3 linked regions of the Coturnix japonica genome follow. The protein of the gene in region 1 binds, or shares a complex with, the protein of each later gene. Links are inferred from orthologs where the notes say so. Each region holds a gene or a part of one and is shown in the gene's direction. Other genes may lie near its edges.

Region 1 (4,740 bases):
GGGCTCTGCCATCAGCTTCTCACCGCAGTCACCTCCCGCTGAAGAGAAAGATTTCACCGTGTTACCCAACAGCAGCACGGCCACAAAGCTGAGAGCACTCTGTTCTTTGGCATGGAGGTGATCGGAGACACCACAGTCAGCGCTGAGAGTCATCACGGGGCCTGAGAGCCAGGCTCCATATCACCCAGCTGGGCCTCAGGGAGCAGAGCCACGTCCCTCCTGGGCCAGCATAAAGGGAGCACCACAGGGGTGCCCAGCAGCGACGTGTCCAGCTTGGAGCACCCCAGCAAGCTCACATCGAGGGGCAGGCTGGCATCCAGAGGGGGCTTGATGTCTGAGATCTCCCACCTGGATGCTGGGGGCTTCCCAGGGGACAGCAGGTCACTCAGCAGCTCCGTGCTATGGGACAGCGCTCTCTCTTTGAGGCGCTTCCCAGCTTTGCACGGTGTGGAGGTGTTCCTTGATGTTACATCCAGCAAGGAGCCGGGCCCTGCAGGCAGCTCACAGGGCACAGCTGACAGGTTGAGGATGGCAGGGCTGGAAGGGCTCCTGCAGAAGGAGAGGAAGCTGAGGTCCGAGGAGCCCAGGCCAGCCCTCACTCCACTGCCCATGGGCTGTGCCACCATACACACAGGGCTGCCCCTCGTGGTGTCCACATCTGCCAGCAGCTCCCAGGTACTCTGCTTTGGGGCACTACTGGAGTCCAGGTAGTAGCTGTACACAGGAGAGAAGTGGGTATGTCCAGAGGCCCCAGCCACAAATCCATTGTCCAGCAGGTCCTTAATGGTCAGGGTGCTGTGCTGCTGCGAGGACGGCATGGCGCAGGGCTGGAGGAACCAGGAGTCCCTGTTGGAACACGCAGTTTAAGGGCAGCCCTTCAGATCCAGGCAGGGCACCCTCCCCACCCCATCTCCTAACAGGACACAGGGCCCAAACCACAGCACCAAGGAATGATTTTTCAGGCCCCTTGCTGAGCACGGGGCAAGGCAGCACTCCTAGGTTTGTGCTCACTCAACCTACATAGCACTGCTCTTAGCTTTGTGTATGAGGGGCCTCGAAGCATCTCTGCTGCAGGGGACACTGAGGTGGCCATCAGAAAGGCTTTATCTCCATTCCTGAGGTCAGGAGAGCATTTATCCCAGGTAGAGCCAGGCTACATCCCAATAGGGGTAGCATAGAGACCTTACAAACATAGCTATACCAGGGTGACCTGGGGACACTACAGCATCCTAAATTACATCATACCTAAATAACATAATATCTATATCACATCACATTGGAGCGTCAAGAGTCACAGCAGAAAGCTCCCTAGGTTACTTAGGACAGTTATATGATCATCCCAAAGGGAAACATCCTTAAATGAAACCTTAAATAGCATCTAAACAGAGAAAAACCTAGGCAATAAGACGAGCACTACTTGCCTTTAGCTCCTACAGAGGCTTCTTTCAGGATCGCAGCCCTTCCTTTAACTAGCGCTGCTCGGAGCGCTTTTATAGTGCTGGGGATTAATTAACGGGCTAATTCTCTCATTAAAATCACTTGGGAGGGGGGAGGGCTGCAAGTTAGTTGGGTTAATTCTGTTAGTCCGGCATTAAGGCGGTGGAGGCTCATTCTGGTGCTGTCCCGCTCTGTGGTGGCCGCACTCAGGCGGGAGGGCGCCCTCCCGCGCGCGCGTCTTTGTGCGGTGCTGACTTAGTGCGCATGCGCGGCCCGGCCCCGCGCGGGGTGGGGGGCAGCCGTTGGCGCGAGATAGGAAAGTGCCGCCGCCGCCGCCCGGCCCCGCCGCCATGGCGCGCCGCAACCGAGGGTGAGTGGAGCCCCCCGGGGTGCGGATGGTTCCGTGTCTTCTCAATGGGGGGGAGGCTGTGGTCTATGGGGTCTTGCGGTTTCGGTGTCCCTGAGCGGTGTGGATGGATGGGGTAGCAGAGCCTGGCCCGCCGCCCGCCTCTTCGTGATGCCTTCAGGCTGGGCCCGGTGGCTGAGAGCGGTCCCGGCCCTGTGGGAGCCTCGCTGTGCGCTGCTTTGGTGCCCTCTGTACCCCAGCAGTAACGAATAGGGCTGGGGAGCTGTATGGAGGGGGATGGAGCGGGGCCTGGGCTCACGGAGCCCTCACTGATGGGCTGGAACCGAAGGATTGTCCTTTCTCTGTGTTAATGTGGGGTTGACCCGCACGCAGAGGGGTCCTGGAGGTCAGGGCCCTGCAGGCCGGGTGTGTGGGGGGAGTGCTGTGCTTTGCCCAGGGGAGGCAATAACGCTCTGCTTGTTGCTCTGCAGTGAGGATCAGGATGAGCTACACTGCCAGGACACCGACTCGGATGTGCCCGAGCAGCGGGATGGCAGGTGCAAGGTCAAGTGGACGCAGGAGGAGGTGAGTGAGGGCCGGGCAGCCACTGCTCATAGGGCTATTGGTAGAGTTTGGGTAGGCCTTCAGTGTGAGCACCTTATCCTGCTCCTTGCCTGCTGCCACAACACCCACTCACAGTGTCTCATTGCTGGGGAAGGCCCTTTGTCTGTTTTGCTGAGGCCTTGATGAGAGGAAGGTCAGGTGAGTTTGAAGCCTGGGGAGCAAAGAGCTCTGACTACTTCAGCACCTGGGCCTACAGCAAGCTATCAGCTGCCTGCAGCAGTTGCTAGAGGGTGGCAGAGGCCTGGAGCTGATTCATGCAGTGCACATGCCCTCTTCTGAAGTCAATGTGGACAGGGCTGGGACCTTTAGGATTGTGGCAAAGAGCCTGAAATGAGTTGGCGTTTTTTCTGCATTTCTTCTGGTCCCTTCATAGTCTTTTTATTTTGTGAAAAACTACAAAACATTTCATTTTCCTTGAGCTCTGAATATGGAGTAAGAGTGGCCTTTGGGCAGAGATCAAAATCTTGGGCTTGTGTTGGGCAGGGAGTTGTTTCTTACCTTTGTTTGCCCACCCACAAGATCTTTCATTTCCTTGCCCTCAGGCAAGGAAGCCCTGTAGTGTAGGGTTTGTGAGAGAAGTGCTGTAGAACTATCAGTGTAGAAAGGCAGCGGGCTGCCTGGTTAGTGGTGATGTACTTAAAACAGTTGGTCTCTTTGGCCAGGCAAAGGCAGTATGAGAGCTGGGAGATAGGCTGCCTGGTCAGGGACATACTGGGGCTGGATAAGCAGGTAGCTCTGGCTGCATAGTTTGAACTAAACTCAGTGTGGGCCTGTATGTGACCACAGCAACTGGGTTTGTATTGTACTCTGCTCTCATCATGCACACACCAGGAACTTGCCCTAGTACAGAGCTCTGAGCCAAATGTGTTCCCACTGGCTTCTGTGCACTGGGACACTGATAAAGAACTTAAGTATCCTCTTCCTTGTAATGCAGACATAAAAAGCTCAACGATTAATAAATATCTGAATATCTAACATATCTTGATGTTGTTGCTTTCAGAGTGATGACTGTGACATATTTTGCTCAGTGTATGTGAAAGTGGATGTCTTTGTTCCTTGCAGGATGAGCAGCTGAAGATGTTAGTAAGACATTATGGACAGAATGACTGGAAGTTCCTGGCCAGTCACTTTCCTGTAAGTGCCCCTTTGCCTGGTTGGGAATTGTAGTGTTGTTTGCATGCTGTTTCTTGTGCTCAGGGCACTGGCTGTCTCCATGCAACACCTTGTATGATGGCACTTTGTTCTGTGGCTGCTACTGTTGAACAAATTTAGTGTTCCTCTAGGGCAGGATGACACATCCTTCTTGCTTAGAGGGTGTGAGTTTATTGGGAGCTGGAGTGAGACATTGGGGTTCCTGTCCTTGTATCTATACCCAGTACCCTGTACTATATCCATAGCATGCATTCTCTGTGCATCTGTAGTTTTTCCATGTTGCAGACTGTGTGTGTGAGGACTGCTGTGTTTCTACAGGGGTTTTTGGAGCCTCCAGTCTAATGTATATCTGCTCTGATTCCTTTCCCCAGAACCGCAGTGACCAGCAGTGTCAGTACCGGTGGCTGAGGGTGTTGAATCCAGACTTGGTTAAGGGCCCTTGGACCAAAGAGGAGGACCAAAAGGTAAGTCAGGCAAGGACAGGGTCTGAGCGTTGGACTTTGACTCTCTGTCAACAAAGTGGAGGTGTCAGACCTAGACAGCTTTCTATCTGTGTTACATCAAACACTTCCTGAGGAAGCTTATAACAATGCCCTTCTACCTTCTTACAGCAGAGCAGTTGCTGCCTATTTTCCCCTCTTTATGTCCTGTTCTGCCAGCCAACCTAGTCCTGATGCCCACTGCCATCATGGCCAAGCCAGACTCCAGCTTTTTGAAGCTGGATAGTTTTGCACTGCAAACAATCCAGATCCTTGAACGTGGGTATCTGTGGCCCATTTGTCTGCCCTAGGCAGTCAGTCTGCAATAGGAGTGTTAGTTATGGACCCTGTGAGCAAGATCTGTGGTGCACCTGCTACCTGCACCTTTCAGCTAAGCACTGCTGGAGAGGGTAAAAGTGCTCTTTTGGAGTCATCTGGCCTCCTCTCTGAGATATTGGCAGGATAAACACTGCGAGCAGCATGTTATGTTACATTGCTTTGTTGCATGGATTTATTTCAGGCCAGCCAGAAAAGATTCCCTACCTGGAAGCATTTGCACTGAGCTTTAGGCCAACATGTAAAGGCCCTAGGCGAAGAGGAAATTGCCAAGCAGATGGCTTTTAAGTGAATTTTGCTCATTTTTGCTTTGTGCTTGCACCACGTGTTGTGGCATTAGTGGGGCATGAAACTGCAGGTTGTGTC
Region 2 (4,834 bases), on another chromosome or scaffold:
CCTCCAGTTTCTCAGGTCGGTAGAACACCCCTGAAGCCCATTTCAGAGCAGCTCCTCTCGCTAACTTCTCAGCCTTTTCCACCTCTGGCCACTCCTCATCTAGGGAAGAAGCCAGGGGTTAATGAGCAAAACGAAGCCTCTCCTTAAGGGGCAGGAAAGGCCCCTGAGGCCAGAAACAGGAAACCATTGGGAGCGGATGTTCAAGCACACCCAGATGTGGGAAACTGGACAGCAGGGCAGCAAGGAGACATCCTGGGAGGGCTCCCTGACACCCCATTACCACGGATGGGGCCATGCAGTGAACAGGCTGCCCCGAGGAGCTGTTATCCAACCCACCAGCTCAGGGTGCCAACCTGAGGTGACCCAGCACGACAAGGACACGTTGCCCACGGGGGTCTCGTGCCACCTGGGAAGGCAGCGAGTCAGAAGGTGGCACAAAGAGCTGCTGGTCCGTGTGCCACTCCTGGAGGCTCTGCCTGAGGGAGCCACGCTGGTACAAGCACACCCAGGCTCCTGGACTCCTTGGTGTCCCAATGGGCTGCATGGGGCTGTCTTCAGAGTCCAAATAGAAGTGTCCAAAGCCAAGCCAAGGGCTGAGGGCTGAGACACAGCTCATCTTCAGGGCTCATTGTTTCCCCCCTTCCGAGAACTGGGGCTCCCTGCACCCCCCCGGGAGATGCCACCTTGCCCCCACCTGAGCTCCCCCACAAGGACACCGCTCGGGCTCGGGGCTCCCAAAGAAGAGCAGCGCATCCCTGGAAGGCGGGGAGCTCAGAGGGAAGGGCTGCAGCGTGGGGAGACGGTGGCAAAGCAGGAGATGGGGGAGCGTGAGCAGCACGGAGCGGCAGCCCTCCTCCCCTGCCCGGCACCGCGGGGGCTGCAGCATCGTCCCCGTTACCTGTAGGGCTCGCGCAGCGCTCGTCCTTCGCCGACATGCCCATGGTCTCAACGCCGCTGTGCACATACGAGCGGGGCTGGGCCGAACGGAGGAAGCCGACGGTCGTTTCCTCCGGCACACGGCGATCCTCAGGGGCTCATTGTGTTCCCGAGGACGCGCTCAGGATGTCGGGGCCGGAGGGGGAGCAGGGGAAGGAGGAAGGACATAAAGAGCGGCCACTCGGTGCGGGGCTCCCTATGGGGCAGGGTGACCATGGGTGCCCCCCATGACTGCTGGGTGCCCCCTATTGCCGCTGAGTGCCCCCTATGGCTGCTGAGTGCCCCCCATGGCCGCTGGGTGCCCCCCATGGCCGCTGGGTGCCCCCTATGGCGTTGGGTGCCCCCTATGGCCGCTGGGTGCCCCGGGGCTCTGCTACGTGCAGGATCTGAGCTGCCCTGTCGCTTTGTCTGAGCTGTGGGCACCCCGTTGGATGCCCAGCGGGGGTTCGGTGCGTTCATTCATTACGGGAAGGGGGCGGTGATGGCTCGCAATGCTCGGGGACACGGGTTGGCCATGAATGCTTTGGTTAACGGGGAATGGGATATCCCGGGGCCGCCGGGTAACCTCCATAGGGTTACGATGAGGCAATAGGGCATTGCCCGTCCAGAGCAGCGGTGGGCTCGGGCTCGGGCTCAGCCCCGCAGCCCTGTGAGCAGCCCACCATGGGGCTGGGACCCCCGGCCCCGACCCCCGCCCGTCCTCGCCCCCCCACGTGGTTTCCACGCCCGCCCCACAACGGAAGCTCCCGTCATACCCCCCGAATCGGAAGCGGAAGCGCGGCGGGCCTGGAGCCGGCGGCGGGCAGATGGCGGAGAGCGGGCAGCAACCGGCCGGGGCTGCGGGAGGAGGGAGCGGGGGAGCCGGGGCGCCCAGCCGGCACGAGAAGAGCCTGGGGCTGCTCACCACCAAGTTCGTGTCGCTGCTGCAGGAGGCCAAGGACGGAGTGCTGGACCTGAAGCTGGTGCGGGGCCCGTGGGAGGATGGGGAGGCCCGGCCGGGGGCATCGATGTGTGAGGGGGGGGAGCGTGGGGACGGCGGGTCGAACGATATGGCTGCTCTGCTGCTGCTGTACGGCCTGCACGCTGTGCCCCTCCGTGCCCCTCTGCTTGTGCGACCCTCCAGTTCTGTTCCCATCAGACAGAGCAGCACTCTGCTCCATGCCCTGCAAGCAGAATGAAGGCAGCCCTGGGTTATGAAGCTGTGCTGGAAGTACAAGGCTGGGGTGGTCCCCTGGCTATGCTGTCCTCTCCTATGGCAAACTGCTGTCTACTTGGATTAGGGCAGAAGGACGATGTTCCCTAAGCTGTCAGTTCAATGGGGGTTATGTTTGTTAGTGTGGTTTGTGCGTGGTCACTGAAGTCCTGCAGTGTGAGAGGGGCAAGTCATTTGTGCATTGCCCTCTGTGTGACACCACTGTGTGACTGGCAGCAGTTAAAGTCTTGTTACTTCTGCATTGCCGTCTGGTTGGTGAAGCAATATCGGTGCCTCCTGAATGTGAGGGGAGGGTCCTTCAAAGGGTCAGGATCATGGGATCATTGGGGTTGGAGGGGGCTGCTGGAGTTTATGCAGCCCAGCCCCATTGCTGAAGCAAGTCCCTGGATTAGAATGCACAGGAAAGCATCCAGGTGGGTTCTGATACCTACAGAGAAGGAAACAGCACAGCCTGTTCCAGTGCTCTGTCCTCCCTGTATCCATTTCCAGAGGACTCATGACCTCGTGTCCATTCTCTATCAGCTGGCATCAGGTTTTAGGTATAAAAAACCTTTTGAGTGTCAGCTTTGCTGAACTGCTGTCGTTCAGGCAGCCCTCTACCTTCAGATTCTCATCTCTCTTTACACTCGAGAAGCACTGAATGTTTAGGCTGCCAGGCTTGTAGCCCTGCCCTGCTGCTGAGGAGCTGTATGGGATGGTGAGCAGATAGATTGGTCAGAAGTTAATCTGATAGGCAGGAAGGAGAGAAGCATGACTGAGAGTTCGGAGTTAAGTGTCTGACTTCTATTGCAGGCTGCAGACACCTTGGCTGTGCGACAGAAACGACGGATCTATGATATCACGAATGTTCTGGAAGGGATTGGGCTGATTGAGAAGAAATCAAAGAACAGCATCCAATGGAAGTGAGTGATGGAGTTGAAGTCATTCATGGGTCCCTTCTAATCCAAGGTCTTGTCTTCTGGGTGCCTTTCTGCTGGTTTATCAGTGGCCTGTGCTGAGCTGTGCTGATGGTAGTAATGAGGAATGTTAAAGTATGTATGGCACATTGCTTTTATAGCAGAGCTCGTATTTTGGTGCAAACTATTTCCATGTCTCGAGTTAGAAAAGACACCTTTCATGGTGCTGGAGGTGGGGGATGGAGGAGGATGCACTGCATGGTGCTGTGCTGGAAGATGGTGTGAGGCTGCAGGGCGGGTACAGGTGAGATTCTCTGGCCTTGATGTGTGATAAAGGGGGAAGGAAGGAAGGTGGCAGCTCTCAAAAGCCGGGTGTTTTGGTTGCTCTGTTAGCTGATGCATGTCACTGCTGTTTGCTCTGTGCAGAGGGGTGGGTCCTGGCTGCAACACGCGTGAGATTGCTCACAAACTCATCGAGCTGAAGGCAGACATAGAGGACCTGGAGCAGCAGGAACAGGAGCTGGAGAAGCAGAAGATGTGGGTTCAGCAGAGCATCAAAAACGTCACAGAAGACGTGCAGAACAACTGATATCCTTTTGTCAGCCGGCCGTTCCTCAGGGCTGAAAGGCAGGAGCTGGGGCTGGGCTGGCAGTGCTCTGCTGGGGGCACCTCATGTTGCTGCTCTGAAAGGATAAGGAGGTCATCCCCCCCTTGGAAGCAGATGAGCACTGCCCAGTATAGACAATAGCTTCCTTTGCAGCGTTTCTTGTGCTCAGAAAGGAAGGAAACTCCAGGTGCCCTTTGAGTTCCGTCTTCGCAGGAAACTGCAGCTGTTGTCCTTAACCTTCCAAACGCTAGCTTATGTGACACACGAAGATATCTGCAAGTGCTTCACAGGTGAGGAAATGGTGCTGCATCATAGAGATATAATGCTGCAGTCCTGTCAGCCTATGCCAGCTGCTTTCCTTTCTCTAGGAAAGAGGAGGCAGCACATCTTGACTTAGGGCTGAGCATGGGCTGCCCTCAGCTGCATCATGCCTTGTACCAGGAGGAGAGCAAAGAGGAGGGAGTGAAGAGCAGGACAGAAGGGAATGTGCTTCTTGTTGTGACTTCACATCCTTGAGGGGCAAAAGTGGCAAAAAAGCTGCAGGAGTCTGTTTCCTCTCTGTTGGCAATTGCACTGATAGCTGCAGGGCCAGAAATACCCCAGTGCAGTTTGGCAGCCTTCTCAGCTGTAGCAGCGTGGATTCAGAGCTGCTTTCTGCTTCAGTGAATGCCTGCCCTCTCCTGACCCTCTGCAACCTACATCTGCTTGCTTGCCTCAGAGAGTTCAATGGGGAAGCTGCTTATCCTGCCCACCCCAGCTGTGCATAATCTCACCCTCATCTGACTGCTCACCTCTTCCAAGCTGTCTCATCATCAGCTCTTCCGTTTCTCATCTTTCCTTTCTTGCACTGTCCTCCTTGTTCACCAGACTTTATCCTGCTTGAGTTCCTGCTTTACTGTTTCTTCTGGTTTAAGGTCAGGCTTCTTGGGGACGGGGGTTGTGTTTTCAGTTTGACAGTGCTTGGGGCCAGATAGTTTGTAACAGCCTGTGGGAGCTTCCTGGAGACCAGCAGACAGATTATTGCTTGGTTCATTGAGCAGTTTGCATTTTATTGCACCTGTTTTTCTTCCTAAAAGAGTTTGCTTCTGAACTCAGACCACACCAAAAACCTTAGTTGTTAGTGACCAAAAGGAAGTGGAAACACACTGTGCACCGACTGTCTTGTGAAAACATTTGGGACTC
Region 3 (4,907 bases), on another chromosome or scaffold:
TTAAGTTTGAACGTGGCACTTACTGTCTTTCATTTATTTCATGCAGGGTACGGATGCTTCTCCTGAATGTGAATTATCTGCTGGTTCTCAGGTGCTTTGTTTTCAGTACATCATTGTGCTTCAATTGTGGTATCCTTCTTATGTGTCCCTTTACAATTTCTTCTTTTCTCAGATCTATGTGATGAAAATGCACGTATGTATATGTGCCTTGTATTTGTGTTCTCCTTAAAGCCCTGCAGAACCCCTAACTATATACATATTTATATATGTATATTATTCATATATATATTCATTTGTTTTTAGCAGGTCTATTAGAGAGCTGTCACAAATTTAACCATATATGTAGATGTATGTGTGTGTGTATGTATGTATATACATATATATATACACACACACACACACATATATATATATATACTTACCTGTGTGTGTATATATCTGTAAGTATTCATGCAGAAGCAGCCACCCTAACTGATACTTGTGTGTTTGCTTCATCAGCTTCTTGGGGCTTGTGCAGCTTTTCTCCTATGGTACAAGTAGGAAGTTTCCGCTTAAGCCTTCAAAAAGGAAGAGAATCTGTTCAATTTCTGTTTGCTTAATTAGATCAAATTTGTGAGTAATAGATGGGATCTACTTAATGAAGAGACTATTTACATCAAGGAAAGGTGCTGAAACGTATTAGAACTTAGTGGTGTCAGTAAACTGCATTTATTACTGCTGGAATTGCAGCCTGCTGGAAGGAATGAGCGGTGTTTGATTATTTTAACTCAGTATTTTAAGAACACTTTACACGTTAGGTATCCTCATGTAAGGGGTAACTTACCTAATGTTCACTTTTCTTTAAGAACAAGCCAAAAACCTCTGCTTAACATTAACTGTAACATTTCTGTTCACAAAGGAGCGAGAGCGCTTTCAAATAAGGCCAATGAAAGCTATTGATGTTTTCTTAACCCACCTCCCTTCAGGCTCTCTCAGTTGATACCACAAGAAGGAAAGAACGTTCTGAATTCTCCCTGCTGTTTCAGGTAAGGACTCTTGTGGCATTTCCTCATGTGAGGGAGATGTTAATGATGTTAGTGTCGGTTAGTGCTGGTACTGGTGGAAAACATTTCATATCACAGCTTGGCCTTAAGCTTATTTCAGTTCTTAAAGCAACTCTGGAGCTGGTAACTGTTGTCATCTCCTGCTTTATCCTGTTCCATCTGTGTTGTGCTACAAGTGAAGCAGGTGGGCTGACATCAGCAGTACCAGGAGGACACGGGCTGTGTTCCGTGCTGCGTTCTGTGCTGTTGTTTCTCTCACACAGCGATACCTGTGGTTGTACCATCTCTTGCTGTGCTGGCACAGTTCTCCTTGTACCTGAGCCTTATTTGGGAGCCCACCTCATTTCTGAGGAGCTGAAGACCATCATTCACCCCTTAGTGAACATAACTGGGACTTACTGAGGCCCACACAGTTAAGGTTGTGCTTTTACCACAGTTGTTTTGCCTCAATTCACTACGTTTCTTAACATTTTGATACAAAACCGTAGTTTCTTATCCAGAAACAAAGCGGAATCCTGTGGTGCCACTCGGGCCCGCGTTCCCCCCATCCCCGCCCGTTGCACCCTGGGATGGCAGGCGGCGCCGTCGCGTTGTTATGTCGTTATCGGGCGGGGCGGGGCTGAGCGCCGGGGCGTTGGGATTCGAACTCGCGTCTTCAGCCCCAGGGGCGGCCGCGCAGGCGCAGTGAGAAGCGAGAGCGCTGCCCCCTAGCGACGGGGCGAGGCATGGCGGGAGGGGAGGAGGCCGAGAGCGAAGCGGGGCCCGGCGGGGGGATCCCCACAGCACCGTCACCGCCGGCGGAGGAAGGAGAAACGAGGCAGCGCTACGAGGAGCTCTGCAGCAGCCTCAACATGGACGAGCGAGCCCGCTCCGAGGCCTGGATCAGCTACCAGAGCATGAAGCGCAACTACACGCTGGAGGTGCGAGGGGGGCGGCCTGCGGGGTCTGAGTGTGTGTGTCTGTATGTATGTATGTATGTATATATGTGTGTGTGTGTGTAAATGGGGGTAACGGCCTCGTGCCGACACGAGTGGCCGCTGAGGGGCAGCGGGGCGGGATGTTGTGGTTCCTCAGTCTGAGAGTGAGGGTCGGTTGTGCTGGTTGGAATCCACTCGTGTTTGTAGCCCCTGTTGTGTTGTGTTGTGTAAGAGACACAGAACCGTGTTTGTGCCATCCCGCATTTGTGCACAGAAGGACGTTTAGATAAAAAGGAAAGCTGGATGTTGTTTATTTCCTCCTGTTAGTGTCAGATCAGTGCAGAACATCGCTATGAAGGGCAGCGGTGACCCCATGGCCGAGCCGTGCCATGACGTTTCGCACCGCACATCACACGCTGTCACTGCTGCCCTGTTGCTGTCAGCTCTGTATGCCCTATATGCTCTATATGCCCTATATGCTCTATATGCTCTATATGCGGTGCAGCCGTGGGCACTGCACAACAAGGAGGCAGCCCTGGTGGTGTTATTGCCGCAGTCCATTTGTGGCAATGTGCTCCATGTCTCGGTGCCCAGCAGCTCACAGGGGGTTGACATGCATCATGTTCTGCTTCGCAGGGCAACGAGCTGCACTGGTTGGCGTGTGCCCTCTATGTGGCCTGCAGGAAAGCCATCCCCACCGTCAGCAGGGGGACAGTGGAGGGCAATTATGTATCACTGACCCGAATTTTGCGCTGCTCCGAGCAAAGGTAACTCAGTTTAACCAATTTAAAGCACCTTGAGGAACACAGAAATTAAGAACGAAGTCTGGATGTCTTTGTTAGATTTGTTATACATATTTGTTATATAGATTTGTTATATTGAGTTTATACATTGGGGATCTGTGTGCTGTGGCTCACACAGGTAGGGTGGTTGTCTCTGAATTGTCTCAGCTCTTCCTGGTTTGTAAATGAGGAGCTGGCTCTGAACACTTCAAACTATAATCATCGTGTTTGCAGTGCTGCTTTTACAGGTAGCTTGGAAAGTTTTAGTTGTACTTTTGCTGTAAATAAATGTATGTTTATAGCGTGTTTCTGTGAGAATAGGAGCAAACAAAAGCCAACGCTCTGAGCTCTAACCTGTTCAATGTCTTCAGCTTGATTGAGTTCTTTAACAAGATGAAGAAATGGGAAGACATGGCAAACCTGCCCTCCCAGTTCCGAGAAAGGACTGAAAGGCTGGAGAGAAACTTCACTGTTTCTGCAGTGATTTTTAAGAAGTACGAGCCCATTTTTCAGGACATTTTCAGATACCCTCAGGAAGATCAACCCCGTCAGCAGAGAGGAAGGAAACAGAGGTACAGTTCTGTTATGTCCAGACTGATGTTCGGCTGTTGCTGTTACAAGAAGCTGCTTGGTTGTTCTATCTGCATTTTAACTTACTTCCTTAGTGGTTCTTTATGGTACCAGAGTTGGTCTGTTGGCCTTCATTACAGCACATGTACAGTTCTGCAGTTAGTTGAGTGAGCCCTGCTAGTCTGTTTGCATAGCAGAGCAGGAACTCAGTTTGAAGGTTAAGTCAGAATTATCCATTCCAAATTCTTATGTGAAATGTCTAAGCTTTTAACATTTAACACCATTCCTTACATAACCTGGTGGAGTAACCAAAGAAATGAGTGCAGGCTGATAAAACTACTGCAGAAATTGAGAACAACACCTCACTGTGAGTGAATTTGGCCTGAATGAAAGAATTCTCAACTTCAGTATGTGGTAGGGTGGGTACAGGACTCCTGATGGACAGGAGGGCCTCATGGTTAGGACTAGTGGAGGAACCTGGTGCTGGTAAACAGCTGTAGTGCAAAATTCTCCATAGTATGTAAAATTTTATACAGAAACACAAAACACTTCAGCAAAGTGTGTAGGTGAGGTCTGTGAGCAAACAGCTTATAAAACCCAGTGTGCTGTGTGACGTGTGCCTTGCAGGACGTGCACATGTGCTTACATTGCTCACAGTACTTCAGAAGGCATCCCATGTGTGCTGCTTTGTTGGTGATGTTTGAATCGCTGCTGGCTGAGGCTTCAGCTGTGTCTGCTGTGAAGCTCTGAGCAGCTACTGCATTATTTCAGACCAGTTCTTACTTTTGTTATTTTTTGAGGGGGAGGGATACAGTTCAGATTTTAGCTGCTCTGTGGCAAAGCAGCTCTTTGAGAACGATGGGATGTCTGTCCATTGTAAGTCATTGAGCTTCTTGTGTTTTCCCCCCAAAGGCGACAGCCGTGCACAGTGACTGAAGTTTTCCAGTTCTGTTGGGTGCTGTTTGTTCATGCGAAAGGTAAGAGATCTGAAAGGGGCTGAATACCACAAACCCCTTCTTGTTAGTCTGTATCAGTCTGTAACCGTGAGCCAGCTGCAGGCCCTTCAAAGAAAGTGCCTCCTTGGAGCAGTCTGAACGAATGCACCTGAATTCCTGCAGCTGTTTGTTTTCCCAGCTGTCGGAGGTGAGCACTGTGCCCTGCCAGCCTGGTAGCTTTATCTGAAATACTGCTCCAGGGTTTGCTGTATTTTGGCGATTTAGGCTGTAATACTAAAAGAAAATCAGCTCAGAGTTGTAGTGAATTCATATTTTGATAGTTGTAATTAATGTAAATTATTGCTTTATGTTCCCTAGGAACAAAATGATTTTAATTTCCTTATAAGTTTCAAATAACAGTGATAATACATAATGGATTCTGTTCTGTAACACAGAACTGTGTCATGAGGCTGTAGCTGAGGGGACTTTCGAGGCACTCTCACAGGTAGCACTTGGATTTGTTCACCTAAGTGCCTGGCTGGAAGACTCAGATTCCCTTGGATCATACATGTGAAATGCTCTGTTAACAGGCTTCCCTGGAAACAAAGCAGGGAGGAGCCGGTATATTGCCGTGCAAGTATTGCCTTTATTGTAAGAGCA

The links. The genes of interacting proteins can lie anywhere in the genome.
Region 2: MYBL2 (region 1) and E2F4 share a complex: the UniProt entries of both Homo sapiens proteins name them as parts of the DREAM complex. The link is inferred for Coturnix japonica from reciprocal best matches to the Homo sapiens genes MYBL2 and E2F4.
Region 3: MYBL2 (region 1) and RBL2 share a complex: the UniProt entries of both Homo sapiens proteins name them as parts of the DREAM complex. The link is inferred for Coturnix japonica from reciprocal best matches to the Homo sapiens genes MYBL2 and RBL2.

The regions. Positions count from the first base shown.
Region 1 is NC_029535.1:3,104,675-3,109,414, reverse strand, and holds the start of MYBL2 (myb-related protein B), read left to right. Parts: upstream 1-1,676; 5' UTR 1,677-1,787; coding exon 1,788-1,807; intron 1,808-2,274; coding exon 2,275-2,368; intron 2,369-3,469; coding exon 3,470-3,541; intron 3,542-3,930; coding exon 3,931-4,023; intron 4,024-4,740. Other genes in the region: uncharacterized protein LOC107322882, read right to left, coding at 153-818. UniProt on the Homo sapiens protein: Transcription factor involved in the regulation of cell survival, proliferation, and differentiation. Transactivates the expression of the CLU gene.
Region 2 is NC_029526.1:1,551,815-1,556,648, reverse strand, and holds the start of E2F4 (transcription factor E2F4), read left to right. Parts: upstream 1-1,695; 5' UTR 1,696-1,742; coding exon 1,743-1,898; intron 1,899-2,941; coding exon 2,942-3,051; intron 3,052-3,471; coding exon 3,472-3,633; intron 3,634-3,898; coding exon 3,899-3,942; intron 3,943-4,834. Other genes in the region: EXOC3L1 (exocyst complex component 3-like protein), read right to left, coding at 1-99, 899-941. UniProt on the Homo sapiens protein: Transcription activator that binds DNA cooperatively with DP proteins through the E2 recognition site, 5'-TTTC[CG]CGC-3' found in the promoter region of a number of genes whose products are involved in cell cycle regulation or in DNA replication.
Region 3 is NC_029526.1:4,022,707-4,027,613, reverse strand, and holds the start of RBL2 (retinoblastoma-like protein 2), read left to right. Parts: upstream 1-1,768; coding exon 1,769-1,963; intron 1,964-2,596; coding exon 2,597-2,727; intron 2,728-3,113; coding exon 3,114-3,314; intron 3,315-4,224; coding exon 4,225-4,289; intron 4,290-4,907. UniProt on the Homo sapiens protein: Key regulator of entry into cell division. Directly involved in heterochromatin formation by maintaining overall chromatin structure and, in particular, that of constitutive heterochromatin by stabilizing histone methylation.